Schizosaccharomyces pombe: one gene and its partners. Changing the gene in region 1 together with any one later gene gives a genetic interaction. Each region holds a gene or a part of one and is shown on either strand. Other genes may lie near its edges.

What was found.
Region 2: of tor2 (region 1) and npr2, changing one suppresses a phenotype caused by changing the other (phenotypic suppression), as found in Schizosaccharomyces pombe (3 studies listed by BioGRID, with this or other methods).
Region 3: of tor2 (region 1) and tsc2, a mutation in one rescues a mutant of the other (synthetic rescue), as found in Schizosaccharomyces pombe (4 studies listed by BioGRID, with this or other methods).

Annotation. Positions count from the first base shown.
Region 1 is NC_003423.3:920,585-931,663, reverse strand, and holds the start of tor2 (TORC1 serine/threonine protein kinase Tor2), read left to right. Parts: upstream 1-9,311; 5' UTR 9,312-9,379; coding exon 9,380-11,079. Other genes in the region: squalene synthase Erg9, read left to right, coding at 1-604; mRNA cleavage and polyadenylation specificity factor poly(A) polymerase Pla1, read right to left, coding at 852-884, 926-1,019, 1,059-1,176, 1,220-2,675; gta1 (glutamyl-tRNA amidotransferase alpha subunit), read right to left, coding at 3,306-3,648, 3,696-4,521, 4,568-4,814; protein Cwf11, read right to left, coding at 5,085-8,939.
Region 2 is NC_003424.3:2,489,402-2,500,480, reverse strand, and holds npr2 (Npr2/3 complex subunit Npr2), read left to right. Parts: upstream 1-2,918; 5' UTR 2,919-3,054; coding exon 3,055-3,562; intron 3,563-3,605; coding exon 3,606-3,742; intron 3,743-3,783; coding exon 3,784-4,368; 3' UTR 4,369-4,637; downstream 4,638-11,079. Other genes in the region: RING finger-like protein Ini1, read left to right, coding at 5,163-5,172, 5,214-5,267, 5,339-5,585, 5,625-5,667; guanyl-nucleotide exchange factor Sec73, read right to left, coding at 6,370-9,618.
Region 3 is NC_003424.3:367,990-379,068, reverse strand, and holds tsc2 (Rheb GAP, tuberin Tsc2), read left to right. Parts: upstream 1-4,937; 5' UTR 4,938-5,104; coding exon 5,105-9,124; 3' UTR 9,125-9,228; downstream 9,229-11,079. Other genes in the region: gluconate transmembrane transporter inducer Gti1, read left to right, coding at 1-877; transcriptional corepressor Tup12, read left to right, coding at 1,953-2,076, 2,138-2,225, 2,623-2,975, 3,239-4,386; SPOM_SPAC630.12 (lipid phosphatase), read right to left, coding at 9,229-10,497. UniProt on the Schizosaccharomyces pombe protein: Together with tsc1, required for uptake of various amino acids from the environment and for proper conjugation. Involved in induction of gene expression of permeases and genes required for meiosis upon nitrogen starvation.

The DNA of each region.
Region 1 (11,079 bases):
TGAATGTTTATCTGATATGACTGCTAATGCTTTAACACATGCTACTGATGCTCTCGTTTATCTTTCTCAATTGAAGACTCAGGAAATATTTAATTTCTGTGCTATTCCACAAGTAATGGCAATTGCCACATTAGCTGCAGTTTTCAGAAACCCGGATGTTTTTCAAACTAATGTTAAGATAAGGAAGGGTCAGGCTGTCCAGATTATTCTACATTCTGTAAACTTGAAGAATGTTTGTGATTTATTCCTTCGTTACACCCGTGATATTCATTATAAGAACACTCCTAAAGATCCCAACTTTTTGAAGATTTCAATTGAATGTGGAAAGATTGAGCAAGTATCTGAAAGCTTATTTCCACGGCGCTTCCGTGAGATGTACGAAAAGGCCTATGTTAGTAAGTTGTCTGAACAAAAGAAGGGAAACGGAACTCAGAAGGCAATTTTAAATGACGAGCAAAAGGAATTGTATCGAAAGGATTTACAGAAACTAGGCATTAGCATTCTTTTTGTATTTTTTATAATCCTTGTATGCCTTGCTGTCATTTTCTATGTGTTCAATATTAGAATACATTGGTCAGACTTCAAAGAGCTTAATTTGTTTTAGTCCGTAAATTTAAAAAACTTAAATACTGGTTCAATATCGATAATATACAAGCAGTTTATTTCCTTAATTACTCTATGAAAATTGAAAGCTGTTTTGCTAAACAGAAGACAATTTAGAACTTGATTTTTGATCCTGTCTACAGATAGTGACTACAATTAATATAGGTTGTAAGATAAGACCACAATGAATGATGAGATATACTCGTGAGTGTTAAGCAAGCAACGGTTTGAGTCTTATGTGTGGGTATTTATGCCGTTGAAACTTTTTGTCGTTTTAATTGCTAAAGATCGTTAGAATGGATAGCTAAATCGGAATTCTTACCTCTGTACTATGTGCAGTGTCAGCAGTGGACCTCTTCTTAGTAGCTTTCGGCCGTTCTTCTCCAGGTTCGAAAACTTCATCAGGTAAAGCAGTACTAAAATGTGTGAGAGTGTATATATATAAAATGACTTACTTTTTAGTATTCTTAATGAAAACGTTCATTAAGGTGTCATCATATTTATCCCATTTTTTGCACAACTCGTAAAATTCTTGGGTAGGCCAAGAAATATCAAGTCTTTTAATTGGATGACCTAATAAAGTTAGCATAATTAATTTCAAAATGTAGTATCTTGCCTTTCTTCTTTTCAAGTTCAAGCCCTATATAACATGTTGTAGTGTAAACAGGAAAAATTTGTTTTTCACCATTTTCAGAACCATCAGCTTTACTCTCAGTATTGTCGGCTTTCTCTTCATTAACTGTATCGTTGGCTAATTTTTCATGATCCGTAGATTCATATGCGACTTCAAGAGTAACGCCGCTAGCTACTTGTTGAGCTTCTTCTTCACTGGAGCAATTATACACTTTATCAAATCCTTTATTGAAAGGATGTGCCAAAGCAATAGCATCAACAAGCTCCAGTCTAGTAACCAAATGACGAAGCTTAGATTCAACCAAACCTGCCCACTTCAATTGAGCTTCAGCTGTCTTAGCAGCTGCTGTGATCGTAAGATAATGCTTATAACGATGAAAAAAGTCGTGTTTTTGAAACAAAGCTGACCAGGGAAGAGCCTTGACCATTATTTGGTCAGCAATTTCTCCAGCCCGAACCATTTCGCGAAGGATAATTGTTTGGGTGGATAAAGTAATGTTATGAGTTGCACACATTGATGGATAAGCCGGGGTTATAATTGGCATACGGTGAGCTTTGTCGGATGGATAAAGTTTTGGATTCCAGATACGTACTTGTAAGGGGCCATCTTCAATGGGCTTTAACAATATTGGTTGAGGCCAATTCCATTGATGAAGAATACGAAAAAATTTAGCAACAATCACAGAAGATACTGCATTCGGATATAGTTGGCAAATTCGAGCTACCATCATGGCCCAGGCGACTCCTCCAGGAAATCCTACGACATTAGCGTATATTGCACGACGTTGAGCCCAAAACTTTATGGCTCTTAAAGCATGCTTAAAAACAGCACGATTAGGGACAAGCTGCAGAATCTGATCCGTAACACGTGTACCATTCAAACTTAGCACACATCTTTCTTCAACACCCTTTAATAAGTTATTATCAGACAATTCGAGGTCGCGGGGAACACGCGGAACTGAAAGACGAGCAAAAATTAAATCTATACTTATTCCCAAAAATTTAAACTTAATAATAGGAACATAGGCGTCAGGTACAGCAGCAAGGTCAGTTACCTCTTCTCTTTCTCGAAGCATAGGTTCCAAGTCCTGAAAGAAATTGTCGCGAGAAACATGCTTGGGTACAACGACTAGGGTATCTATGTCTGATCCAGGTCCATAAACGCCCAGTCTATAACTTCCGTACGTAAAAATTTTCCCCCCTGCCTCATTAGCCATCTTTTCGTTCATATGTTTGGCAAGTGATACTTTCTTTACAAATTCTGTCGTTATTTGTTGCAACTCATCAAGAACCTTTACTCTTTTTTCAGATTCGGCAGGAGATTCAAACAAGTTTTGGTTCTTCAACTCATTAATTAAAGCCGTATTCAAAGCATTTTCCTGTTCAGTAGCAGGTGCAGTACTAATTGGCGGTGTAATACCCCATTGCTTGGTAGTCATGCTTTGAAAACAAAAATTGGAGTCTTGAAAGGTAGCTGTTTTAAATTATCCTAACCTTTAAAAACAACTGGTTTAAAGCGTACTAATGCTAAATGTGTAGATCTGGTTAGCATTCGTTTAGGATTTAAGGCATAAATACGCAATTTCACAAAGTGCGTTATCTTATTATAATGTCAAAAAATTCATTTACAGTTGCACTGAGACATTTATTTCGATTAAATCAAATTTAATTTATCTGGTAAATTATACAATTGTTGCTGTTTATCATATATATCTTGACAGTGCACTATGTTCATTATCTGACAAACCGATTGCTCCTGGTTTTGTATTTAAAAGCTTACCCGTTAAATTCCATCCTTCAGATATGCATTTTTTTTGGTTGAATAAACTAGCGACTTGAAATGTAAAAATAATTTATGTTGCTGAGAAGTGTAAATGATTCAGAATCCACATCTATTTATTGGATTTACCGCAGTTGTAGGGAAACTGTCGAATTATTGATGACAAGTTCTCCAAAACTCTTTGCAAACAAGTTTCAATGTATGAAATTGATTCCAAACAGTAAAGAATTATTATGCTCATAAAGATTATCATAGCCATGTTTCGAGAGTTTAGATAAGCAGCCGAAATCTATGCAAACTGGCCTGCAAAAGACAACAAATCTTCGTCATTAAGATATTGGGCCATAATTTGAATTCCCATTGGAAGCCCATTGTTCAAAGTACCGAAAGGTATGCTAACGGATGGTATTCCAGCCATATTCGCTGGAACTAACATAGTATCTGAAAGATGACTATAAGAGGACGGGGTTTCAATGGGTTGACTGGAATTAAAAAAAGAAGGGGTAACTATGAAATCGATGTCACCCCTGGGATCATCGACAGAAAAGGAAGGTAGAAAAAAGTTTTTGTTGAATTCCAGCTGTATGGCTCGGCGAACGTATCGAGCCTTAGAAAACAAATCAGAGGAATTCCTATTTGTAAATATTAGTAACTACTTAGTAAATCAGTTATATCATACATTCTTGCTAGTGAATAAGCGCCTAGCAGTAGCCTCTTTTTCACTTCGTCTCCTAAAAAAAAAGAGCGTGCAGTAGATGAAATTATTTCCTCTTCGAACTTTTCATCTAAACAATTGCCAAATGCGATAGTATTATATTTAGCCAAATTTGAAGTCGCTTCTGCATAAGCCATTGTGGAATATACACTGTTAGCGTATAATGAAATTGGAAGCTGTATTTCTTGGACAAGATAACCATTTGATTTCAGAAGAGATATGAATTCATTCCACTTATCTAAAACGTTTGGATGAGTCTCAGAAACATTCCAGTCAATTGGAATTCCTATTTTAATTGGCTTCCGCGATAATTTTTTGTGCTGCTCTTTAACAAAATAACGAGCTTCTTTAGTTAAACAGGTTGAGTCATTTATGTCGGGATGGTCTAAAACATTAAATACTTTGGTAACGCCCTTAACATTATTTGCAGCGATACCCACTGTGTCAAAACTATTGGCAAAGGCAAGCATTCCATATCTCGAAATCCTGCCGAAAGATGGTTTAAAACCTACACAACCTACGTAAGCAGCAGGTAGACGGATTGATCCTCCTGTGTCTGAACCAACTGATGCATAACATATATCCGCCGCGATTGCAGCAGCAGCTCCTCCCGAGCTGCCCCCAACATCGTAATTACTATCCTTAACAACAGGATTAACAGTGCGACCAAAAAGATTGTTTTCGCTCTTGACTCCCATTGCAAACTCATCCATATTTGTTTTACCAAGAATAATACCGCCGGCTTTCTTCAAGCTTTCGACAATTGACGCATCAAACGGAGAATTGTAGTCTAGTTAAACCGCAATTAGTAACTGAAATATATTCTTATTGTCTACCCTTCAACATATTAGAGGCTGCCGTGGTTAAATTTGTCTTCGTGCAAATATTTTCCTTTACTGTAATCAGTTTCCATTTTAACGGAAGCTTCTTTTCCAGTGGTAATTTACTAATTTCAACAAATGAATCATATAGATATTCGGCACTATTTATTGAAGTTAAAGACTTAATTTTCGCATCATTTAGAATGATACTAGCATATTTAGCTGCAACTTCTTTTAATAAATTGTTATATTTATTACTCATTCGACCAATCAATCATTGGACGTTAACTTCGTGCAAATAATGTATTACCCAACTTGTTGTATAGTTGAATAAAGTAGTGAGCTATTATCGGTATGACACCTAAGACTTTTTCTGAGGGGATCAACTTTTTATTGTTTGTAAAGCTCACTATTTAGTTTTTTAAATAAGTTAATTATGCAAAAAAGCAATGAAATAAAATGACTTTAATCTTACAAATAATCATTAATTCAATACAACAAGCAAATAGTCTATATGAAGTAGGTTTTTATTTTAATTCGTATTTAACCTTTTTTTAGTCATTTCAACAACATAGTTTGAGAGATGAAGTAAATTTTCAATTTCAAATGTTTCAACGGAAGATCCGATTTTGTGAGAACTTGGATATATTTCTCCCGTGGTTAAAAGCAGCTTGTCAGGAGTCTTTTCAATTTCATTCCACAGTTTTTCAAGACCACGTGTAGAGCGAAAAAGGTCACGGTTGCACAATACGTACAGACCATATGAGCATGCTGAAAAGGCTTTATAAAATGTTTTTGGATTCCAATGATCAGAGGCCTCTTTAGATTCAACTGTCGTAAATATAACAAAGTTTACCCGTTTATCGCTTGGTAATTTTTCCACGGTACCTACAAAAGCAGGCTGACCAAAAAACGAGTTATGAGAACAGCGTACCGATATAATTTCATTTAAAAGGCTGACTTGACTCTCATAAAGCGTACAGATTACAATTTCGTTGGTGGGATAACCTAACATTCGCATGTACTGGAATAAGGCAACTGCGTACTCGGCTTCTCCAAGATTTTGCTTATAACCGCTAACGGGTTCTGTTTCTTGAGAACCTTTAAAAGCTCCCACATTAATAAATTGGACCTCATGTGCAAACCCCGAATTACCATAATCAAGTCTTTTATTGGGACTAGAATCCACAGTTTTGATGTCCAAAGGATAAATTGATGAACATAGAGAACTGATAGATTCTCTAACATTGTATTGCGTATTAAGGTCAATAATTCTGGATTTCAAATACCGCAAACGTTTGAAAAGTGAACCATTTGACGTATTATTTATATCCTGATTCCCAGAGGTAAGATATTGATTACCCAGAAGAACAAGGCGATCAAAACCAGTTGGTTCACAGTTTGAAAGTAGTATGCTAGTGATAGAGCTTTCACTTATATTTTGTGAGTTCATAACAATTAAATTGTTAAAGCAAAATCCCTTTTCTTTCAAAGTCCCTAAGCGTGTACTTAAGCTCGTCCAAGTGCATCCGATAATCCTAGATTGTTGGCATAATGCATACAATTCTTGATCTTCATAATATCTCAGTAATCCAAAAGGCCGGATCTCTTCCAGCTGTTGGAACATATATTCTAACTCCCCGTATAACTTTGTCGCATAATCGAAAAAATTATCTTTATTATACGTTTCTATCGGACGCTTAGATTTGTCACCGAAATACGAATGGAAAGGGAACCTGTTATAGGCATCCACAGAATCCTTATCATCTACCGTGTTCAAGTACTTTTCCCAAAGTCGCTTAATATAAGCATCCCTAAAATACAAAGCCGTATCTGGGCTGGCGTCATGAGAACCTGGAGCCTGGATTGAAGCAGCTAGGCGACCGATTTCTCGTAGAAGACCAGGAAGCTTAGATATCCAAGACGATAAAGTACCATAACGTTCCAACGTTTCGTCTTTTCCTTCATCAGATAGATATAATAGGTGCCCTTGGTGAAAACATCTAGCTTTTTCCAGTAAGGTAAACAAAGTATTCATAGAGAAATTGGAGTCAGAAAGTACAACGGTTCTATCATTGGGAGATGTGTCTTGTAAAACCTCTAGAAGTTTGCATACCAAAACATGTTTTCCACAACGAGTTGGACCATTAACCATAGTTAATCCTGGTTGAGATCCACGTAAAATCGATTCTAGCTGTTTGTCATTGTAAGTATATAATCGATTTGATGGTAGTAAAAAATGCCTATCAGATGCGGTAACATCAGCTGATATTTTGTTCTGATTAGTATAAAATTTGATTAGTAAAGATTCAGTTGATAAATTAGAAGGTACATGACAATTAGGAAGTACTGATTGCAACTGTTCGACTGTATTGAACAAGTTTCTAGCATAAATAGAATTAAGCCCAGCATTAGGAAAAGCACATATATCAGGCGTTCCAAAACCCAAAAATAAATCTTCGAACCATTTAGGAAATTCTTTAGCGCGATTAAGTAAAGATACAAGAATATTTAAGTCCAACCAATACTTATTTGCCTCAGGAGACAGTACCAAAGCAAAGTTGAACTTCAATTGCTTAGGGCGATATTCCCCCAACCCCGCAAGGGAATGATAATAAAATGGGCTTAGGTATACATTGATGGACTTGTTGTCAGAATCTGACTGCATATCGCTTTGAAACATTCCAACATCATCATTGCATATCGTCGCGATTGTAAAATCAGTCACCCCTTCTAAGGGGTCAAGCGCATTACCATGTAATAACTTGTACTCCATATCTTTAGAAATGTATATTAAGCAAAGAAAAGGGCTCTTGATGGAATTCTTTAAATCACGTAACGCTGAATGAAAAGGTCCAGGTCGACTTAAACCCATTTGACACTTTACAAATTGAGGTAAAACTTGACCGATTTGAGGTGGAGCAACGGAGGTAACTTTAAAGTTATTTAAAGAGAAAAAATTATCTTTGGTCAAATTCTTGGTCGCATTTTTAATTGATAGTCTCCTGTATTGTTCACTGAAATTTAAAAGTTCAGCATATAGTGACCTTAACAATAACTTTTTGTAAGCTTTACTCTGTTGTCTCATAAAAAAAGATATAGAAAGATATTGTATAGCAGTGTTTTGTAGTAGGAAGTAATTGGTCAAAGAGTTTTCTTGGTCCATCACGGATCGCTCACCAAGTACATCTTTCAAAGTAAAATTTATGATTTCATCATAATCATTTACCAATCTAGTCCTATCATACGTGTTAATAAAAACATTTTTTAAAAATTCGAAATCCACTTTTATAGCATATTTTTCGGGAAATGAAGTCCTCAAATAACATTTACTACACAAGGACTTAAGTGAATTGAAGGAAAGAAAAGACGTAATTTCCTCCAATTTTTGTCGCTGTTGTAAAGAGGTTTGTGTGCAAAATACCAGATCCCCTAATTCCTTCTGAAAATCCGAAAATAAAGTTAACTGTAAGTGGTAGTACACAAGCTCATCATTTCTGATTTTTTGTTCTTTCTCATATTCGTTACCTCTGGTATTATCAAAAGGGAATTTCAAAACATAGTTTAAGTCGTCTGTCATTTTTTTAAAAAGCTCATTACTGTCGTAATACAAAGACATTCTTAATGCGGTATAAAAACAACTGTCTTCTATTACGGGATGAGCAAAGCGACGTGTGGGAAATGCGGATAGTAAAACCAAAGACATATTGATAATTGCTAAAAGGGGGGTTACTTTCGCTTCTTGTTTTTCAGTTTGAGCGTAGCTAATCGATTTAATAAGCAGAGAATGAATCCAGCGGGAAAGTAAATTATGTAAAGGGAACTTTTCAACGATAGACGGTCGTTTTTCCTTATAAGAATCAAAGGCTTTCGTCAGAGAGCTTGAGTCATGTAGTAAATATTTTACTTTATCAAGATTATCAAGCGAATTTAAAATAGAAATGTTCGTTAACTGGTAAACAAGTTTCCTTAATTTCTCTATATTCGAAAACTGAAAACAGAGAGTAATGAATTGAATCATGTAAACCACTTCTGATAAATTTAAGGATAAAGAGACTTCAATTACTTTTTCAAAAAATAATTGAAACCGATTTTCATCAATGAGGTCCCATGTAATATATTCATATTTGGATTTGTATAATAGAAGCATACAAGTTAAGTTTATATGGTTCAATGACATCTCAGTATTAACCCTCTGCCAAAGGAAATTCTCAAAAAGCTTTAACTCATGTAACAGACTAAGTACTTGCTTAGCATCTTTACTTACAATGACAGCTTCGAGGATGCATTGTAGCATAGTTTCTTGAAATTCTACACCTTCATTTTGACCCCAATTCGAATTTGCATAATTAATGATTTGTTTTTTTTTGTTTTTATACAGAACCATTTAATAGAGAAAGGGATATTAGCAATATCACAAGTGTTGTGAACTTGGTGGTTAGCGTCAGAATCTTTAACAGCGATTCTTATTTGTTCTCCTCTATGAGCTTTGAGAAAAATGTAAAGTAAAAAACTTAAAGTAATACTTCGAAAATAAAATTTAGATAATCAACACTCGTTTTTGGTATTTTACCAAAGTTCCTAAGTTTAGACTTTTTTTAATAAAACTTGGATTTTTTGAGAACACTAAATATTAACTTGTATATCTATTACAAATAATTAATCGTCATAAAAATATTACTTTTTCAATCGTGTTTCTATTGATCTCCTCTCTGCGTATACTAAGAATTAGGTGCAAAAGTACAGCAGGTGCTTGTTTGGTCACCACCAACCACATTTAATAATTTTGTTTAATTGAGAGAATGATGCTAATTTAAGCTGTATATAATGAAAGAATTTCCTGGGTTGAAAAGCAGGAATGAAGAAATTCGCAATAAAGCGGCAAATGATCTTTATGAATATGTTATAGCTTATTCTCGAGAATTATCGGGCGAAGCTTTAGTTCAGTTTAACAATGATGTTAACAAGTACGTTTATACTTTAATTCACAGTACCGATCCACTCGATCGTCTGGCAGGCGTAACTGCCATAAATCGTCTAATTGATTATGAAGGAGAAGATACTACAAGGATTACTAGATTTGCAAATTATTTGCGTATTATTCTTCCAGGAACTGACCAAAAAGCCACCGTTCTTGCTGCAAAAGCTTTAGGGAGACTTGCAGTTCCTGGAGGTGCTCTAACTTCTGAATTTGTGAACTTCGAAGTTAAACGCGCTTTGGAATGGCTTCAAGGAGAACGTAATGAAAATCGTAGATATGCAGCAGTGCTTATACTTAAGGAGCTTGCCAAAAATACGTCTACATTAATCTATGCTCATATCGATTCAATTTTTGAGCTTTTATGGCATGGACTTCGGGATCCAAAAGTTACTATTCGAATAGCTTCGGCTGATGCGTTGAGTGAGTTCTTGAAAATCGTTAGGCAAAGGGATTCATCCATCCGTCTCCAATGGTATACAAGTATTCTCAATGAAGCTCAACGTGGTGTTGCACAGGGTTCTTCTGATTACATTCATGGTAGTTTACTAGTATATCGCCAATTATTTTTAAAAGCTGGAATGTTTATGCATGAGAGGTATCGAGAAGTATCGGACATTATATTGCAATTCAGAGATCACAAAGATTTGCTTATTCGCAAAACCGTTACAGAATTGATTGCTACACTCGCAGCTTATAATCCAGATGAATTTGTTTCCAATTATTTACACGTTTGTATGCTCCATCTACTTAATCTATTAAAAAAAGAAAATGTTAAGATGTTGGCGTTTGCCACTATTGGAAAAGTTGCCGTGGCTATTACTAATAGCATAATCCCATATCTTGACCCCATATGCGATTCAATCAAGGAAAGTCTAAAAATCCATATCCGTAATAAAAGTGCTTCGGATGCTGCAATTTTTCAATGCATTAGCCTACTTTCTATAGCACTAGGACAAGCCTTTTCAAACTATGCGTATGACCTCTTTGACTTAATATTTGCAAGCGGACTTTCTGAGGCTTCTTACCGTGCTCTCTCAGATCTGGCCCATAATATACCTCCATTATTACCAGTCATACAGGAACGACTATTAGATATGCTCAGCAAAATTCTAAGTGGTCGTCCTTTTATTCCTCCAGGATGTCCTCCCCAATATGTAGCAAGATCTTTAAAATCTTCAAAGAGTGCTTCCCTGAAGACAGGATTTTTTCCCAATGACGTCTATATTTTGGCTCTAAAAGTTTTGGGAAATTTTGACTTCTCCGGTTATATTCTTAATGAATTTGTGAAGGATTGTGTAGTTGTATACCTTGAAAACAATGACCCGGAAGTACGCAAAACCGCCTCCATAACCTGCTCCCAACTATTTGCTCGTGATCCTATTTTATCGCAGACTAGTGATCATGCGATTCAAGTAGTTGCCGAAGTGCTAGAAAAGCTTCTAACAGTTGGTATTTGCGATACTGTTCCAGATATTCGGCTAACTGTTCTTAATTCTCTCGATTCTCGCTTTAACAAGCATTTAGCCCAAGCAGATAAAATTCGTTT
Region 2 (11,079 bases), on another chromosome or scaffold:
AGTATAATCAATTTGGAAAGAAATAAATAGAATGAAAAACTTATTAAGTCCATACTGTTAAAAAAAGTCATTTAGAAATAATACAATAGAGAAGAGAAAAAGAAGAAGAAAGTTTAATCGTCAATCGGCATACGAGGCTTAGGAGAAAACAAAGAAGGAGAAATACCATCATTTTTTTGCTTTTCTTTAAGGAAATGTACTAGTGTTCAAATGGTTAGTGAATTTCTTAGTAACTGGTTTAGCATCACATACAGTACTCTTTCAGACCCTTTTTAAAATTGTGAGAACACGCAAAACCAATTGCAATTGTGAACAGTAAAAGGAGAAGAGTGATAACCGAAAAAGTGGTAATCATCTGCTTTGAAGAAGCATAATACTCTTTCTGTGTTGAAGTATACATCCGAATTATCTTGAAAAGGATATACGGTATGCCACATACGTAAAAAAATTGAACTGTCATCATGAGAAACATATTTTCAGAAGACACAGAGTTGAATGATAAAGTTAAAATCAATACCGTAAGCGGTAATACCAAAATAGTAAGTACGAATTCGACAACAGCATCCTCCGGTAGAACCATCACATATTGTACTGTCACTCCCAAAACTAGAATATTAGCTATTAGGATATAAATTTTTGAAATTGAGTAAACTTACAAAAGTATATATCAATCTTTAACAAAGTCACGTATATCTTATAAACCAAATATCTCCTTCGCATGCGTAGTTCAGGACCTATTTTTTTGTAGATGACCCATCCATACGCTTTGTTCATTCCATGTGCAAGGAACCCTAACATTACACTTGCTACTCCAAGGATTACCGGAAGCGCAATTAAGAATGGTTTGATTCTCTTGGGGACTTCAAGTATAAAGTAAATGCCCTCATTACCTGCCTCATGCCTATTCAAAATTAGCGTTATAGGATTAAGAGAGGATTGTGTTTTGGAAAGAAAAACTTTCTGAATCTCTGCTAATTCTGAAATTTGAACAATGGAATAAATAAATAATGCGACATGAATGCATAGCAATCCGATGATCTAAGGATGTTAGCACTGTTTAAGAATTAAACTTAAATCCCGCTTGCTTTTTCTAGTTGATAAAAACGGATAGCTTAAAATTCACGTACCTCAATTATATTTTTTGAACTTAAAGCTTCTACGCATAAATATAATATAAAGAAGCATGCAAAAATAAATAGCGTTAATGAAATAGGCAAACTGTCAATTCCAAGATTCTTTAGCAATTCCACAGTACGGAATTGTCCGATACAATATCCTTCAAAACATATTATCAAAAGGCATTCTAGTATAATTACTGTCAAAAAAAAAAATTGATGTTTTTGGAAGTGTCTTCAAGAATAATTTACATCGGCTAAAAGCTTCATAAGTTGTTTCTCTAAAATTTGTAACAGACTGTTCAATTCGATGTTTAAAATCCCAAAACATTCAATTTGGCCGGGTGTGGTAGTGCCTTTAATGTATAGTGCACTCGGATAAACACGTAAATATCACAAGCTAATGTATAAGCGATGACAATTACATAACAGTTTTATGAATTGCGATTTTAACAGAATTATTCAAGTTTTGTTTAAATGATTATTAGATATTGCAATAAAATATCTCGAGTATACTTAGCTAGAGCTGGATGACTCGTCAGTCTTTATCTCACTGAGGTACGTTATAATGATCAACTTGAAAGTGAAGCGTATCAAATTAAAAACAAAAAAAAAGCCATTAACGGAGGCCCTTCAAACTTCAAGCAACTAATTTTGTTAAGTTGTCAAGTTTATGAAAACTCTAAGGATATATTGCTTATAAAAAATAGGAAGGAGAAAACCAGGCAGAACCTGTTTATTTACAAAACGATATAGTAAGAATGAACTAAAGCTCATTAAAAGAAACCAAATATCCTAAAAATTAAACGCATCCGCTCTTTTCGCACTTTAATCTATTCGTTTTAAGCTAAACAACTCGAACAATTATCGAGCTTTCATGCACTTATGCCTAATTGAAGTTTCAATGATTTGACGTATTTTTCGTTGCTTTCTAACAGCGAAAAAATTCACTGGCTCAATCACAATTTTCCACTGTATCTCCTTAATTTATCTTTTATACAGTCAATATGGCTTGGTGCCTCATTATTTTAATTTTCTGTGGAAACTAGCGATTTATATCTTCAAATGTTTGAAAAGATAGGAAATCAATTATAGTAACAAAACAATTCTCTCTCTCTAGATTTATATATGGACAAATAATTGACTCAGTGAATGGATAAAAGGTTTTACAATTATCTAGCGGTTTTGTGATCTTTTTATTTAGGTTTAAGTTAAGCGAAAGCTTACGTTAAGAATTAAGCAGAAGTTGTAATAATACTGCTTTACACAAATTTAGTTTTAGTATTTGAATTCTAGCGTAAAAATAACACAAATACTTTTATTAAAACTTCCTGTTCAGTAAAAATTTGATTTATCCGACTGAAGTCTATTAACTATCGTTTCAAAGATTAACTATTTTTATATGATTACTGTGTATACTGGATATTACTAGCGCAGTTATCAAGCAAAAAGATTAAGAAAATCAAGTTTTATACTTTTTTAAAATCTTTTAACCCTAGAGGCTGCTAGCATCTGTTATCCATACGAAATAATCCTTAATGTTAATACAGATATGATTTTTATCACCTTATTAACATTAATGATGTAGCGAAATGTGGCTGTAGTCAGGAAGCTTTGACGTTAAGAATCAAATTTGTATAATTTACTGACCCAATGTACACAAGTGTTATATGACTTTCCATCTTACCGTTACATCAATGCAGAAATCTGAATATTGTTTGTAAATAATAAATTCATTAGCACAACTACTTTTCTGGGTAGCGTACAAAGATTTATATGGTTTTTGAAGTTAGTCCCCAAATCGACACTTGCACATAAGCTTTTGCATCCACCAGTAGGGGCATAACGAAATATTAAAATAAATATCTTACAAGTTTTAGCTTCATAAATTAAAGGTTAGATAAAAAACTCGGAAATTTTTAAATTCTTTAGCTTTCCTATGGAGTATTCTGAAGAGGGATGGATGGATCAAGCTGACAGCTTTCCGCCTCGTTTATTGGCAATATTTTTTGCATTATTTGATCCCTTACAAGGCCCTATAGTAGCTTGTGAAGCTCCTGCTGGATCGGTAACAAATGTTGATGGTGGAAAGAACTGTCTTTTACCATTCGAAACTATTTCTGACTATGTGATTCCGAAACGCGAACTTTGCAACAAAACAATTACTGTTTGTACTAATCATTATCAAGTCATTGGACATCCAATATCAATTATAGGTAGCAATTATGAGAGAAATGCTTTGATTTTCAACATGTGTATGATTTTTCATGAAGAAGAAGATTCAGCATGTTATATACCACTAGTAAAGCGACTAGCGAGAAATTTAGAGGTCTTAGAAAAGCAAATTCATTATATATCTGATTTGAACAAAAGACCTGTAATTTTCAGCGTAATTGAGCAAATTTTGGAGGACATGAACAACTTTTGTGAGTGTATGATACAGCTAGGTATGCGCAATTATTTCATTCGGACTTTAACTAACTTTCTAAGACGACCAAAATTCTATTAATATCAAGCTTTTTCCCGTTTTTCCTTCTCCTCCTACTGTTAAAAGTTTTCATGTACCAATTTTAACGGCTCAGTTGGATTTACTCATGGACAAAAATTGGGATATGACTGTTCAAAAGGTACTCTCTTCCAAAAAAATTAAAATTGACTAATTTTTTAGGTTTATCCTTTTATTAATGGCATAAACTCAGTTCAAAGGATTGCTGAATTAGCTAATGTTAGCTATAGAAGTTGTCAAAAATGCATGGAACACTTTCTATATTACGGTTGTCTAATTATAGCTGATATTTTTCAATTCCATAATATTTATGCTATGACTACTAATGCTCCTAACCTTTTACAAGACCCAGATTTTCAAAGAGAATGTACGGCATATGTATCAACTAACAGCTCTAATGCGAAAAACGTTACTTTTGCTACTATTTTCAAACTGTATTGTAGTTTAAGGCAAGGACTTCGTGTTAAGGATTGGATGAACGAGAACAAAGAAATTTTCAAAGGTTTAGACGTTCGAAGGCTAATCTCGTTCGGTACTATAAAAGGGCTAATATATCGTGTGCATAAATACCCATACTTAGAACGAAGGACTATGAGGAATAACTTAACCGAAGAAGAGAAAAAACTGCTTGGTTTGCTGGATGGAAAGCACCATTTTGATGAATTGTGTGTCACATTGAAAAAGTCTCCAAAGGTTGTTAATGAAATGATTGCTGGATTGGGTGATGCCTGTTTTATTTATGTATGAATAAAAAAAATAGTCTTGCGATTAGTCTTGTTATTTTTTCGGATGATCGGAGCTATAGTCGTTTTAATTTATCTTCATTGCGAGTTCTGCTGTCAATTTCAAAATTGTCAAGTATAGGATTGGAATACATTAGCATCATATTTATGACTATGAATAAATTTGAAGATATTATCAAAACACTGCAATTTACAATGGTTGATTATCTGTAAATTGGCCTGTTAGGGAAAACGATTGTAATTGTGCCTTTTGTTTATACGCTGAAACTTAAGAATCTAAATTTTGGTTATCGCGTACCTAATTAGAAGTATTTAACACTTTATTTTCGTCATTTATTTGTTTTACTACAAAGAATTATTTATTCTACAAGATTACCATGAAAATTGAATTTCATCAATACATCAGTAAACATCGACTACTGTATGTCCATTGATCATAAATTCATAAATGTTAATAGTAGATTTTATTTCTATTTTACTTTATTGTTCAAAAATTCCGTAAATATGGCGCAACAAAAAAAGATCCTCAGCTTAATGGAGAGTATATTTGGTACATACTTGCAAGCATTATTAATACGTTGTTTATAATAGCACTTCAACTGCTAACGCGCATTTTCCGACTTGTTTATGCCATTGCATGGCTGTATTGCAGCTTAACGTATCCATAATAGCGAGTACGAAATTTGAAATCAGAAGAGGATGTTTATATTTTACTAAGCATAACGTAACGCGAAGGACCGTCGTAAATTTACTATATATATCTGCTGCATTGAAATTAATCCTCTGAGTATATTCACAATGTCAAAGCGTATGGAAATAAAAATGAAATTAAATACTAACGTTTATTAGATCATCCTGATTTAGTATTATGCAGAAGACAACCAGGAATTACTGTTGGAAAGTGTAAGTGTAAAGTGTTCTATAATTTGGCATAGTTAAATAATTGGCAGATTCTAATACTCATGAATATACAGTATGTGAACGATGTGACGAAAAATGCCCTATTTGTGATTCTCATGTAAGGCCGACAACGTTGGTGAGAATATGTGATGAATGCGCGTTTGGTAGCTCACAAGACCGATGCATTATTTGTGGAGCTCCAGGTGTTTCTGATTGTTATTATTGTTCGGAATGCACACGTATGGAATATGATCGTGATGGTTGCCCTCGTGTTATAAATCTTGGTTCCAGTCGGACGGATTGGTTTTATGAACGGAAAAAGTAAGTTAACAATTTGCATCGCATACTCACCATTTTTAGGTTTAAAAATGCTGGAAAAGAAATGCCGGGTGCAACGTATTAATAGTACATCTAATGGTAGACTTGTTTCCTAATTCCACTAATTTCCGGTTATGGTATTTATATTATGTTTGGTGCTTTTTCATTATTTTCAATTTATAACTTACTATGCTATTGATTGTTTGCAGCATTATTTAATTTTTGGGTATTAATATACGAAAACAAAAAAATTTTTATAACTCGTATTCGCTGAAAAGCAAAGAAAAATAGTTTATACTCTTTTTCGTCTTTCTACATGCGGTGCAGAATTATTTCGAAATGTAGTACGACATTTATCAATGAACTAAAAATTGTTATTAGAAGTTAATTAGACTCATGTTTATTCATTATCCACCTATTCCTTTAGTCTTCTGTTTTGTGGATCATCTCATAATCCAAGTAGCTCGACGGATAAAATATATAATTAACATAAACGCTTAAATTTTTCCACATATTTAAGAATTGCCATAATACATCAAAATCGCTACCAAATGTTACGCTCTTCAATTAATGTTCTTAAAGCATCGTAACTACAGCAATGTGTACTTTCGAACGGCTAAGAGAGATAAAATTTATTATTATGGATTTAGAGATAATTAATAAATAAAGCGGGAATCCTTGTCTATACGCGGATATGAATTCAAATAAGAAAAATCAAAAAAAAAAAGAGAAATCACTTTAGATGAACAAATATTTAGATAATAGTAGTTAACATTTGATATACATGCTAATTATCAGAAGTAGCAGAATGCCATTTCGATAGGCTATTCATACTAAACTCATCATGTTCCTTATATGGATCCGTGCGAAAATCTTCTGATGAGTACAGGTTCAAAGCAAACCCGCTATCTGTATCGTCCGAAAATGTTTGCCATTGATCTAAACATGTAGTCACGGAACCTAAGCTAGCTGTGTCAGCTAATTCATCATCAAAGGCTTCAATTTGAAGCCTCAATTGGCTGGGTTTACCGGGCGAGCTTTCGCTTGTATCTTCAAAACCAAAAATATCTTCGACAGGCTCATCTTTAACATTGTCCGAGTAAACCTTTGGTGAAAGTATTTCAGGAGTAAAAAATGTCGATGAGGGGTTTTCGGGGTTGCCTTTCAAGTTGAAATTATTATCAGGATCCAAAAGATGCGGTACATCTCTATCTGATGATTCTTTTTCAACATCATGTGTTTGACGATTGATTGAGTTGATGCTCGGATTTTTTAGGGTGCTTGGGCTTGTCGAAGAAGGTCTGTCGTCGATGTCATTAGAACTTTCAAGAGAAATGCATTTATCTAAATCAGATTCAAACCGCAATACTTGCAATTGTGACTCCATTTTTCTGATTTCCAAATATAATGATTGCGCTTTAGCATCGACCTTTTTAAGGGCTTGTAAAATAACTACTCTTGTTTTCGGCTGTAGGGGTGCACATGTCGATAAATTTTTGGCATTTCTTTGTAATACCATGAGTTTCTTATTGAACTCAGTAATAGATGTTTCAAGTTGGTCAATACGTGTCTTAATTGTCCGGGCACGTGCAATTTCCATATCCTGTTTCATTTGAGCTTCAATTGCTGCTAATTCTTCCTCCATATACTTTGGATAGCAAGAAAAGTCTCTTTTAGGATGGTAAGAATCACTTACAGGCATTCGCAGACCAGCTGTACGAAGTGTTGAGATGTAGTTAATTTTAGCTACCCATTCTATCATGCTTTCTTCTGTTGGAGCACAAAGAGTCTCTTCAGATCCATCCCGAAATATGACGGTAAAAGAACAATTGCGTACATTCTTCTTATCTCTGTCACAATAGGCAAACGCATTAACAAGCGAATAACTGGTATCGGGGGAAAACTCTTCTAGAGGTGGAGTAAATACAAGCGGAGGAATTTTTGGAAATTCATATTCCATAGCCTCTGTATCTATACCTTGCAACGTGTCAAAACTGCTCGAGGTAGTTGTAAAATTTTTGTAACGCCTTTCATAAGCTTTCTTTTGAGCCATGAGATCTTTAGCCCATACCAAATTACGAAAAAAAAGTATTCTAGAAGCGGTCAACAAAACCAAATGCTCTTTGTATGAATTGTGCCCCACACTTCTTCGCTTCTTTTCACACCGTGGTAAAATGCCCAGCATACTGATACTAAAATCAACTAGTCCCGGGTCAGCATTGTCTGGTAATCCAATAAAATGATTGGAGAATGCCATTGGATGAGATCTTTTAGAAACAAGCTGAATTATCGCAGGGCTGGAAATCAACTTTCTAACGTTCAGCAAAGACGCAATATCTTTGATACCTGGAGATATGAATTTTCCATCATAAGAGAGAGATATTTCAGGCCGTGAAATATTCAATTGATTTTCTAACGTAAATGTGTAAGGAGAAAGCCCTAACCTTTTACGAGATGTGAAATTGTACTTTTCGTTCTTTTCCTTCTCAATGAGAAGCAACTCATCATCCAGGTTGACAAAAGGAGTAAAGGTAATATTGTCATAATAATACTCCATTATCTCCGGAGCTAATTCATCTATGTCACAGAGATTTATGAATTCCTGCTTCGTCATTTTATGCTTATTATTTGAATTAAAAACGTCAGTGTGGAGCATCATCAAAGAAAACACCAGAATGTAACACTGATCTTGGGAACTGAACATCCCAGGGTTACATTCAAAATAGCGCTTAGAGAATGCATTGATGACACGATCAATCTGTTGAGTTTCCTTAGGAAGGTGAGATTTAAGTAAAAATAACCGCAAGCAAAAATCCAACGGCCGATTTTCAAACTCCATTCCCGACATACAAAGGTGCAGAGCTTTGTTCAATGTTACATGATCCTTTTCTGCTAGAACAGGGATCATACGACTATAAGGAACTGTCTCTCTAAGCTTTGAGAGATAACTCTCCGCAGTATCATCTGCTGTGAGCTCCGGAACAGAAGAAAGAAACTTGGTCGGATTAGGCTTAATATCAGAAAATAAAGCCGAATTTTCAATAGTCTGAGCTACGCATTCGTCATCATCCCGGCGCAAAGTTCGAAAACTAAAAATACTAGAACGGTTTTCTCTCAATCTTTCTAAAGTCCTTTGGGTAGGAATCGTAGAACTACGAGGCCGTGACCGAGAGCTTTGTGGCTGTGGTTGTTCAACATCATTAGGAATAGAAGGCGAACGATACAACCGGAGGGAACCCACAGAAGAAGAAGGTGATGGAACGTTAGAAGTCTGATCGCTTTTATCAACTGGCTTAATGTAATCAGAAGATATGGAAAACTGGATAGGAGGTCTTTTTACTACAGGTAAAGAAGCAATGCGTTTCCCCAGGTCGGACATTTTGACACTACTTTTCCGAGTACCATTCTGTAAAATCGTATTATCAGATTCCGCTGACAAATTCTCATTTTGCTGGTTTAGAGGGCCACCAGCTTTATCGAGAGAACCAACTTCAGAAGGAGAACTAGTAGTTGAGTTAACATCGGGATTCCAGGACTTCCTAGACCACTTCGGAAATCGAAAAAATGATCGAGAAGCACGAAGTTTCGCCGAGTTGATACTAGATGGTGATTTCAAAGAAGGATTGGAACCGCTTAGGTCTGTCGAAATAGGAGACGTGACATCTTTTGGAAAATTGGAATCGTTTGAAACGCTTTGACTTGAATACGATGCAACAGGAGAATTTGCTTGCTGCAAATCCGAAGACCAGTTGTGGTTGAAGTAAAACGAGTGCTTGGCTCTTGCGATCGGATAAAAAATATTTTTTTTCTTAGAAGAGGGCGAATTACTCAAGTCGGTCTGTGAATTACTTGTGAAAGATCCGCTTGACTTTAGTTTACTGTTATGCTCATTTAGTTTTTCTGAACGTTTGGACAGATATGTCTGACTAGACTTTTTAAAGAAAGAGGAGAAACTAGAAGCGTTAGGAGAATTTACAGTGGTATCCTTTTCGGATTTATTTGAAGACTCCTGGCTGGAAGGAATTCTGAAGGTCATTTCGCGCCTCGGCGCATGTAAGTTGAAGAAAAAGAAAGACTTAAAAAAGATTGAAGTAAAGAGAGACCTCGAAAATGAAAGGAAGATTCAAAAAGAAATGTAATGTAAACTTAAGTCAGGATCTAAATTTATAACAATTGGAGACAGTAGATAGATTTGTCGACTATACGAGGATAAAACTGACTGTAATAAGGAGAAAGCAACCAACGTATTACCTTTAATGAACAGATATTTTTTCCCGAATAATCAAAAGAAAAATCAATTGAGAAACTACCGAAGCGAACGAACAAGGGAAAAACAATTAGTGATTAATATAATGCATGCAGCATGGAATGAAATGAAATGAATGAAAAGTAATGAACTGGAAGGTATGGAAGATGAAAAATGGTTATGAACAAAGAACGAGAAACTGAAACGAAGATGTAAAAGTGAAACTTCTGTGAGACGGTTCAAATGAATCGAAATTTTTTAAAAAAAAAAGCACAAAAACCAAGTGTGATCTGATTTAGGCAGCGCAGAGCAAACCGAATAAGCAAAGCAACGAAAGTAAAATGAACTCTAGTAATTTGAAACCCTCAATGGAAATACGAACACAAAATTAATGAGCAAAAGTCATGTCCTTGGGTTGATAGCAGGAAATTTAATGAATCGTCAATTGCTAACCAATTCAACTAATTAATTTCCCTAGAATTTTAATAATGAGTACAAGTTTTGGTGCTCCAGAAAAAAGAATTGAAAAGTAAATACTAGTTTTGTTGGTTACAGTAGTGTTATTTGCTCCGTCCACAACATGCCCGTGTCTTTATCGCCCAATGCATACAAACCCGCCCACCGCAAGGTATTCTGCCACACCCTTCCTCGTATGACCAAATCCGACATGGTCTGATAGAAACGTAGATAGCAAATGGCTAGCACGATGTTCCTGATAATCTAATGGGGCAAATGGCACCATAATGTAGTTTATTTTTTTATTTCTAATGTCAATGATTTAGAAAAATTTAGTTCGCTATCGCAAGTGCTTAAGATACACTACTTCAAAATTATAAACATAACAAATATTTTTAACAAGCTCAGCTGAACATGTTTCTAGGTTGCACCCTTTACTCATTATAATAATTTTTTTTTTAAAAATTAATTTTGAAAGCAAATAGCAACCAGATGTGGCAATAAAAAAAGTAACAAGTAATTTACCCACAACAGAAAAATCTAGGTATTTTTTATAATTTTAGAGATGCTTTTGTTTTACTATATACATAATTCCTAACTGTTCATAAAATTTATTTAACCACTTTACCAAATATTTTGTTTACATACCAATTGAAGTACAACCAAACCTGACCATTACAGTTATTGATCGTGCTCAATTTGTATATTGTTTTATAATGACTTAAAAAAGATTAAGTGCAAACATCAAGTATAAATTAAGATACTATGCTCACAAATTAGTGCCACAATTTTTGT
Region 3 (11,079 bases), on another chromosome or scaffold:
AAACAATGCCTTAAATGAAAATATTGAGCAGCCTCCGATAAAGATGGCTGCTCGTCATTCCTACCCAAACTTTTTACAGACTCTTCCACAGTATATGAATGATGTTTATAATCCATCCGGATTAGCCTTTAACCCTGTGAATCCCAATGCTAATAATTCATTTGTTAATTTGAATTTAATTCAATTCACATCACCATCTCAAGCTCTGTTCGATTACGGAGAAGGTCCTTATGTCGACCAAAAATCACAGTATTTGCAGCCAAAACAGCCGTCTTCTAACACTGATTCAATTGACCAATCTTCCTATAACATGTCTCTTGCTGCTTCCAAACAATTTTTAACGTCTGACACGCAACCCGATGTCAATGAAAATTACTCTTTTATTTCCAATTCTATCCCAAAAAACTTATCCACCTCTTGGAACCAGAATATGGGTTATCATGTAACTAATTCAAACTCAGAACTGGCCTCTCAAAACCCGCTTTATGCTCAACAGGCCGTGTCAATGGAGAGTATGGGCAATGCCATTCAGTCAAGCGCTTATTCCGCTATGTCGACTCCGCATGGAGGTCATTATGACCACTATGCCGCCACTGCGAAAGGTAAAAATCCTTTAGCTGCTGAAAACCACGCTTCTGGTGGTCGTTTACCCAAGGTTCCAATTCCTCCACTCTCGAATATGCGTCGAGGATCTGTTCCTATCATACCTTCATCTGCTTCTTTACCAATGCGTACTTCGGGAAATCGATTCTGTCATTATTCTTCATTAAATGGAAATCACAATCGAATTTCGGCACGTACGAATCCTTATCCCATTAACAACCAAACGATGCTTTTTACTGAACCACTTTCAAAAGAACGCGGCTCCTTGTCATGATTACAAAAAAATTCTTACGAATATTAAGTTTTGTGAGGTTTTTTTTCTTTTTTTTTTTTAAATGTCTTAACGTTATGTATTAATCCTTTTATCCAACTCTTGTTATATGTGCCATATATAAGTAAAAACATTCCATTCAAGTAATGTTTTTTTTATGTGTTTACTGCACAGCTCAATATCTGTTTTTGTACTATTTGCTTTACATTCTGTTCATGTTAGTGGTAGTTTTCAGATGCTCTAGGATAGCTTTTTCCACCAGCAATAACTTATTCTTCAAAGCGGCTTTAAAATTGAAGTTTTTGCGAGTAGCATACTAAATGAATATTTATGCCAAGCAAACAAACCCTTTCAATAAATCTAGGAAGTGTATCATAGTAAATTAAGTCAATGGGCTGAGGAGCAGGCCGTCTATGGCGTATGAAAATTCGAGACTAGTTTCTGGAAATAGCATATAGTGTTTTCAAAGTTATTCACTATCAAGATGAAATTAAATTACGTTAACTTCTATGGAATTCATCCTTAAAGTAAGTTTGTTTCAAAATACCCATAAAATAGTTTTCTTGATTGACTTTAAGAATTCATATTAGGATTATGACATCTACACTTTTGTAAAACTAAACTTCCAATAAAAACCAATACCAAATAATGTTTTATTACCAATTGTATCAAAACGCTTCATATTCTTCCCAAAAAAAAAAAAAAAGGATCTTCTATCTAAAGATTTTCAAGGTTTTAGAGTTAAGATATTTCACGAACTAATTCAAAAAGGGTTTCAATCGATTAACGTTAAAAAATATGTTTTACGAGGTTTCATCACAAATTAATGATTTTACATTTTCCAACTGCGGCAAGTTGAATGAACAGCCAAATTACTAATTCAACAATATTGTCTCGCTAAGCATAAGTGAAATTGTCTTTCCTGACATGTTAATCTCAACATAGTTTGCTTACTTTAGCTTCGAAGCCGAGAAGGTTTTACCGAAATTAACGAATGTTATTTCTCGTTATTTCTCAAACAACATCATTCATGATTACTGTCCGCCAATTCACTTTTACCATCTTCAAGTTTCAATTTATGGCGACGTCCAATGTATCATCACGTGTAAATGAGCTTTTAGAAGCGGTTAAAAAGGAATTTGAAGATATTTGTCAAAAAACTAAAACCGTTGAAGCTCAAAAGGATGATTTTGAATATAAAGGTATCTTATACAAGAATTTGCTGACAAATTTGCGGTACAAATCTAACACTTCTTAAATTAGCAATGATATCTGCACAAATTAATGAAATGGCGCTCATGAAACAAACCGTTATGGATTTGGAGATGCAGCAGTCTAAAGTGAAGGATCGGTATGTCAATTTTCCTAATACACGCTTGGCGAGAAGGTTTGTTATATTAGTACAAGGTTATGCAATTATTGTGAGTGTTGTAGAGTCTTACAAAAGCGATTCCTCTCTAAATATTTATACAATTTACGGTCGTTGACGATAAATCTTTAAAGATGCTAAATAATGGTGGCTCCTTTGATGGGAGTAAATTCTATTAAGTAATCTTTTCATATTTTTACTCCGATGAAGGGTATTTCGTTTTTTACTCAGTATTTGGATGTTTATCACTGTTCGAAGATTCTCTGTCCTTTTCACACTTTTGTCAGCACCAGCATGCCTTCTGCTATGTGAACATTTATTCTCAATTTTATATTATATTTTCTCGAAAGCTATCTTTCTTGTTACTAACTCTCTCTAGTTACGAAGAAGAAATCACCTCCTTAAAAGCTCAACTGGAAGCTAGACGCAAAGAAATTGCTTCTGGCGTCGTCCCACAGTCTTCGAAAACTAAACACGGGCGCAATAGCGTTTCTTTTGGAAAATATGGAAATGCGGGCCCTTTTAACTCGGACAACTCCTCGAAACCTTTGATACTTAATAACGGTTCTTCTGGAGGAACTCCTAAAAATCTTCGATCACCTGCCATTGATTCAGATGGTACTGTTTTAGCTCCTATTCAGACCTCGAACGTAGATCTTGGTTCACAATATTATTCCAGTCCTCATGTACGCCCTGCTGTGGGTGCAACCATGGCTGGATCTGCTATGCGAAGTAAGTTCAAGCTTGCATTGTAGCTTTTGGCAACAGCATTTGTTTTTTGACTTGATCAAGTTTATAGATACTTTTTGTCTTTCACTTTATTGTTTGCATCTGGTATGTTGTACACCGTATGTTCCCAGACAATTTTTTAATGCTGTCATTAATTCGTTTGAATTCCTTGCGGCTTTTGTTCATTTTTTGTAAAACAAAATACTATTGCCGAAACTATTTTGCTTCCTCGTTTTAATTTGGATTTTCTTACTTACCATTCACAGCATTTCCTTCCAATTTACCGCTCGGACATCCTCCACCTCCATCTGACTCAGCTAATTCTTCCGTCACACCTATCGCTGCTCCTTTGGTTGTAAACGGAAAAGTCTCAGGTAATCCTCCTTATCCTGCTGAAATTATTCCGACATCCAATGTGCCTAATAGAGAGGAGAAAGATTGGACTGTCACTAGCAATGTACCTAACAAAGAACCCCCGATCTCTGTTCAACTACTTCATACACTGGAACACACAAGCGTTATTTGTTATGTAAGGTTTAGTGCCGATGGAAAATTTTTGGCTACGGGTTGTAACAGAGCAGCTATGGTTTTTAATGTGGAGACCGGTAAATTAATTACGCTTCTGCAGGAGGAATCTTCGAAGCGTGAAGGTGATTTATATGTTCGCAGTGTAGCATTTAGTCCTGATGGTAAATACCTTGCTACTGGTGTCGAAGATCAACAAATCAGAATATGGGACATCGCTCAAAAACGTGTTTATCGTCTACTGACTGGGCATGAGCAAGAAATTTATTCCCTTGATTTTAGCAAAGATGGAAAAACATTGGTTTCTGGTAGTGGAGATAGAACTGTTTGTCTTTGGGATGTTGAAGCTGGCGAGCAAAAACTAATTTTGCATACCGATGATGGTGTTACTACAGTAATGTTTTCTCCCGACGGTCAATTTATTGCTGCAGGTTCTTTAGATAAGGTAATTAGGATTTGGACATCGTCCGGAACTTTAGTAGAGCAGCTTCATGGTCATGAAGAGAGTGTTTACAGCGTTGCCTTCTCTCCTGACGGAAAATACCTGGTTAGTGGAAGTTTGGATAACACAATTAAGTTATGGGAGTTGCAATGCGTCTCCAACGTTGCACCCAGCATGTATAAGGAAGGCGGTATTTGCAAGCAAACTTTTACTGGACATAAAGATTTTATTCTAAGTGTCACTGTCTCTCCGGATGGAAAATGGATTATTAGCGGCTCGAAAGACCGAACCATCCAATTTTGGTCCCCCGATTCTCCTCATTCTCAGTTAACTCTCCAGGGACACAATAACTCAGTAATATCGGTTGCTGTTAGCCCGAATGGCCATTGCTTTGCTACTGGTAGTGGTGACTTACGAGCAAGAATTTGGTCTTATGAGGATCTGTAAGAACTAGCGATGTTTCATTTATAGCATTGAATGACAATGTCCGAAACCTACTTAATTTTTTAATTCTTCATTTGCCAATAATGCCCATTGACCATTGTGAGACTCGCTTCTTGGCAAGTCTTTTTTCCTTTATTTTATAAAAATTCATAACCGATTTTGTAACCCTTCAAACTTGCGGCTTATTTTGGTCGGAATTTTTCTATCAAGTCAAGCCGACCAGATGTTTTTGCTAATTCTTGAATCATTTCAATTCCCTTTTTTTAATTTTTGATACTTCCATACAATCCCCGACAACCGAAACTCTGATTTTATCCATAGTATTTCATTAACTATTAAATCCCAACTTTTGTATATATTTAATAGACCCTTCAAGTTATGTATATGTTTGCGCGACCTAGCTACTTAGCAATTGGTTTTTACGGTTAAATAACTTCATATATTTTTTGAATTTTGAATGTCGAATACTAAGTTTCTATTTATTAGTTTTAATGTCGTTTCAACCTATTCCTCTTAGATAAGGTAATGCTTCCCCTAATTCATAGCAGCCTGTCAGCTCTCCTCCCCACCCCTACCAGTGTAGCTAATACTTGAAATCAACTTCCATGCTCATAGTTTATGATCTTGAATATTCCATTAAGTTAAGAGTTCAGATTTGCTTTATGTGGTTATTCTGCTGAAGGTCCTAATTTATTGACGTTGAAAAATAAAGGCCACATAGATGAACAATAAATCACTTTTGGATCTTTCTAGTGAGCCTGCTATCAAAGATACAGACATTCTATCATATTTTGATGCTAACCTTCCTTTTAAAAAAAGGCATCAGATTGTAAGGAGTATTTACCATGGCTTAAAATACTATATATATTCATCGACTTCTATCATTCAAGTATGGCAAAATATTCAGGATTTTATCTCCACCAAAAACGATAATGCTGCTTTTCGGGAGCTTGTATACAATCTTATGATGAGATATGTTTCTACACAAAAGCATCTCTCGATTATAGAGCGCCACACTTTTTTTCAAACTATTGAGAAAGATCCTTTTCAAGATATTGCTGAATTACAGCTTCGGCTTAAGAGTTTGAGTGTTTTAACGGATGAAGGGCACAAAATCTCCGGTATTGAGAATAGGGTTGGTCCTTTGTTGAGTGCATGGTTTAACCAGTATCTTCAATGGCAATCTCAAGCAACTGAATTGCAAGGCAAAGACGCAGATTCAAAGCTCGTACATTTGCTTTTTTTTAAAAGCCTTTTTAAGTTTTCTACCAACTTAGTAAAATTTCAGTGGTTCCTAGTGCCTGAACCTCAAATGCTACAGCTTGTTAATTCCGTGGTACAAATATGTAATCACGCTCGCTTAGAAGATGTGGTTACTGAGGTTCTGATGTTTTTTGATTCCATGATTCGCTACTCGGTTATTCCAAAAGCTTCACTGTATGATACTGTTCTTATTTTGTGTAGCACATACATCAGCACCTACTCATATTCGAAACTTGCACAATCTGTTATATTTAATCTTATTAGTAGTCCCGTGTCAAATCTGGCTTTTGAAAACGTATTTAATATACTTCAATACAATCGCTCGAATGTTAATGCTGTACGGGGCGCTGTGCGTTTAATGCGTTTTCTCATGCTGCAAGAAGTGAAAAATGATGCAATAGCTTCTATAACTTTAAGTTCAAGTATTGAATTTACTGAGTTTCCATTAGGATTTAATGAGAATGTTGATTTTGAGATCCTTGGTACTGTGTATCTTTTTTTACGTACACCTTCTATATTAAATCGCCTTAATTTTTTGGATTGGCATCGGATTCTTAATATTTTAATGTATTGTTCACAATATCTACCTTTGAAAGCTAGTACATCGAAGGAAGCATTTTCGAAGACTGCAGCATTTGCTAATATATATGATCGTGTTTTGGATTTTTTGGATTTCGAAGCCTTGATTCCACTGCTGCAACAATTTCAGGTTAAGCTGGTATTCTTTTTGAAGGATGTTCTTCCAGTGTTAAAGCCGAAAATTCGAAAAAAACTTTTACGTCTTTTTGAGACTTACAATCTTATATTTCCTTGCAATCAATATTGGGTATTCAACCTTGAATTTTTACTTGGTATTTACCAATGCAAAACATTTGATCTTGAAGATCGAGCTCTTTTATTTAAGCTTGTGGAAGATGCTTGCTCTGTTGCTGATGAAAATTCGGCCCCCATTTTGTGTTCGAAATTCCTTTTTCCAGTAATTGAAAGCTTTTCTAAGGAATCTGATGATTGTGTTGTTTCTCCTGTATATAATATGTTGTTTTTCTTGTCTGTCAATTTTCAAAACCCGGGACTTAAGGATTGTATCGATCATATTTTTCAACAGCTAATTTCCGACACGAGCTCTGTTACTGTTCGCAGACTTGCCACGAGTACATTAATTCGTCTTTTTTATTATTATTATGACTTAAGGGATGCTGTGCCTATTCAAGAAACACTGGCTAAAATGTTAGAAATCTTGGAGACTCCATCTTTCCCTTTTGTTTCTCGAATGTTGTGTTTACAATTCTTTCTTCGATTTCGAGCAAATGGGACGTCTATTTATATATGTGAGAATATAGATTTGAATGAACCCTTCAAAGTCTTAAACGTTGATTCAGAACTGATTCCTGCAGTTTATCCCATTTCTGATTCTTTTGTTAACTCAGCAACAGTAGAAAAGCATATTTGGGAACGAAAAGAAAACGATTTGATTAAAATTTCAAATCATTCTACAGAATATGGCAAGGACTTTGTAACGTTCCCAACGTCTTCCTTGTTAAGGTTTTATCGAAAATCCATGGCTACAGAGTCTAACTGGACTATCCTTATGTTCATGATTACCCACCTTGCTGATCAAATAAGTAATAGGAGTATGTTTATCGGCGCATTAGAAGAAATCTATAATTTACTTGATTTTATGTGTGATATCGTTTTTGAAAGAGTTTCTATATCTGCTGAAATTCCTTCTAATATTCGTAAGGCCAACATCATGATACCAATCTTGCAAAACGTACAAATGCTTTTTGTTTATCATGATCAATTCAGCAGGGCTCAGGAAGATGAATTAGTCAGCGTTTTTTTTGCAGGGTTGCAAAAATGGAACGAAGCATGTCATGTTTCTATTCATTCACTTATGTTATGCTGTTATGAATTACCCGTTTCAATTCGAAAGCAGTTACCTGCAATTTTAGTCACTTTGTCAAGGTTAATCACCAAACCTGATTTGAGCGTTCACATTTTAGAATTTTTATGCAGTTTAGCAAGATTACCTGATCTTATTGCAAACTTTACGGATGCTGACTATAGACAAATTTTTGCAATTGCTTTGAAATACATTCAGCACAGAGATTTCACTAAGGAGTCGAAAGATTCAAATGATACGGAGAGCATATTAAAAAACTCTTACTCATCATACGTTCTAGCTCTAGCCTATAGCGTGTTACAAATATGGTTTCTTTCGTTAAGATTAACTGAGCGTAAAAAATTCGTACCTTGGATATTGCGTGGACTGAAGCTTGCTTCTGAAGGTAAACCATTGGAAGATTTATGTCTTGTTCAATATGACATGATGCAACAATTTTGCTATTCTAATTCCGACATCAATAACCAAACATCTACTTTTGTTGACTCAGACGTGGAAAGTGAAACTTGGATTCGTGGTAATTCACTCTTTACGATAAACGTGTCGGTAAACTCTGGATTCTTAGAAGCTGTCATTCGTCGCCCGACAGGTACTACGCAGTATACTTTTCGAAATGAAGCAAGTCTGCAAAAGTTTTTATGGGAGGAAAATCTCACAAGTTCAAAGGCTCTTACGAGGGGGCTTTTGTGTACTCCTAGCAGCTTTGTCTCTCATTTCTTGGATCCACATGGTATTTCTTTATACAATCAGCCTCTTCTGCTTCCCTCTAATGATGATTCTGTGCGTAGGGCTATAAGTGTTTTTGACCGTATTCCTGTAATTGAATCACTGAAGGCTGGTCTTGTGTACGTTGGGTACCAACAGCGTCGAGAAGCAGACATATTGGCAAATACAAATCCTTCTGAAGATTTCCTTACTTTTCTTAACGGTCTGGGCACATTATTCGAATTAAAAACAGATCAAAAAGTTTTCGCTGGTGGTTTAGATAGGGAAAATGATATAGACGGTGCGTTTGCGTATTGTTGGAAAGATAAAGTTACCCAAATGGTGTTCCATTGCACTACAATGATGCCAACTAATATAGAACATGACCCTGGGTGCACATTAAAGAAGCGTCATATTGGAAATGACTTTGTTACTATTATATTCAACGAATCTGGTTTAGAGTACGACTTTGATACAATTCCTAGTCAGTTCAACTTTGTGAACATTGTTATTACCCCTGAATCCGAATCTATCAGAAGAACAGGGCGTCAAATTAAATTTTATAAAGTTAAAGCGTTGACCAAATATGATATTGACTTTAGCTTATTCCGTCGTTACAAAATTGTTTCAAGCGATGCATTACCGGCAATTGTTCGTGATGTAACTCTGAACGCTGCCGTTTTTTCACATATATATCATCGCAGTGCTGGTGATTATGTTCATATATGGGCTGAAAGATTACGACAGTTAAAAAGATTACGCGAAAAATTTCAAGCTTCAGTTTTACCAGAAGACTACAATCTCGACGAGCAAACAAAGACCAAGCTTCAAAATGGCACGAATTTTTCGGACTTTACTAGTTATTTATGAGCCATAAGGGCATATAAAAAGTCCTAAATTAAAAGATTGATTACGATTGTGCCTTGCCATCATTAATTAATTTTTTTTATTTAATCTTAAATATTATTTATAGATCAGATAATGAAGATGTTAAGGAAGATGAATAAAAGAAACGGTATCCATGTATATGAGATGAATGTAGAAAGGGTTATGCGCACAATTTTTTTAAACAAATGAATTGTTGTTGACAATGAAAATCGGCGTGCATGAGTTTTGTAAAGTGGGAGGCTATAACGGTCAGTTCCAAAAAAAAAGATAGCAGTCCTCAATAATATAAGAGCAAAAAAGATGGATATAGAAGCACCATACCAAACATAAATTTGAATTTGGTTAGGAAGAATGCATAACTTTGTCTGATAAGAACTTTTTTGATCGGCTTTAGGGTTGTCATAAGGATAGTTCAATGAGAGAAGTTGATATCCCGGATATAGTATGCCGCTGGTCATAGAAAATGCCTTCACATTATATTCCGTGGTGGCTGCTTCTCGAGTATCCACCTGGTAATTATGCACAACTTCGCAATAATCGTGATCGTCTCCAGCAAATGCGGCAATTGGTTCAACAGCTTTTAAAATAGACTCGGAAAGTTCTGGCAAAAGCAAGTTTTGATACTGATATCCCAAACCATATTTGATAACATCATCTTTTTCACGAAGCTCCCCGCAAGAATTGATGGCAGGGCGAAACAAAGGAACGTGAGATAGAAGGATCCTAGGTCTCGAGTTGTCCTTATTTGTTTCAAAGCTTTTTAAGAAGTCTCTAGCCGGTTGATAAACTTGGGGATTGACGTTGTTTGATAAACGAATTCCATCTACAATAACCAGTGTATGATTGCCAACGTCTATTGATCGAGATGTTGGACCAAAAAGAGATTCAAATCTTTGAATATCCTTAACAATAGCGTGATTACCAAATCCAATATCATGATTGCCAGGGTAGATTTCCAATTTATTGGTGAATTTTGGGTCAAGGACGTTCATCATTCTGAAATAATCTTTTTTAAATTCTTCAGTTGCGAATTCTCTACCTGTGTCCATCAAATCGCCCATTATGAAAGTAATATCTGGCTTCAGTGATTTATGAAGATAACGCCAATGCCGACGAAGAAACTGGTCGGAAATCCATTTAACGATTCCAATTAAAGGTCGAGGATAATCATAAGTCAAATCGTCAACTAATTGAGGATCCGCAACCAATGCAATCCTTACTGGATTCCCAGTACTCTCCCATTGCTCCCAAGACCGCCAATCGCACTTTTTATGTGGCCTTGTATGAATAATTTTCTCGAGATAAAGAACATAAAAACAAAAAGCAATTATGACTAAAAAACGACCTACTTTCATCTTCAGTTATTCTTTTCTTCTATTAAAAATGCACGCTCTAAGAAAGTAAGAATAGTAAATCGAGATAGTATGCCAAGTATATACACTACGTTCTAATTTATCGATGCAGAATAAAGGTCGAGTAATTTCAAAGCAATCTAATGAAACTCCACGTTTACAATAAAACCGAAATGTTGGAGAAATGACACTAGACCCTAATGATTAGTTAAATTTATTATTCCTGTTCTTAGTATGACTTTGAAACAGGTGTATTTTTCTTCTAGATAAACCTTGTTAGTAAAGACTTCAAAAATTGTGAAGTTTGGAAAACTGAAGGACCTTTGGCTCAAGAAGCGACTGGCCTCATGTAGAGAATCTTAATATGAAGCTTTGCGGTGCTCAATTTCTTGATTGAATACCCACTATTTTCACTCAACAAGTAATATTCACCTTCTAATTGATTTAATTTATAAACTGACTCATTAATTGCTTTGTATTTAGGTCGATATTGAACAATCTTCAGAAGCACGTAGCTAGAGAGGATAAGTTCTAAATGTCGCCTAATCAGAGAAAGGTACAATCTTATTTTAAATTACTCATATA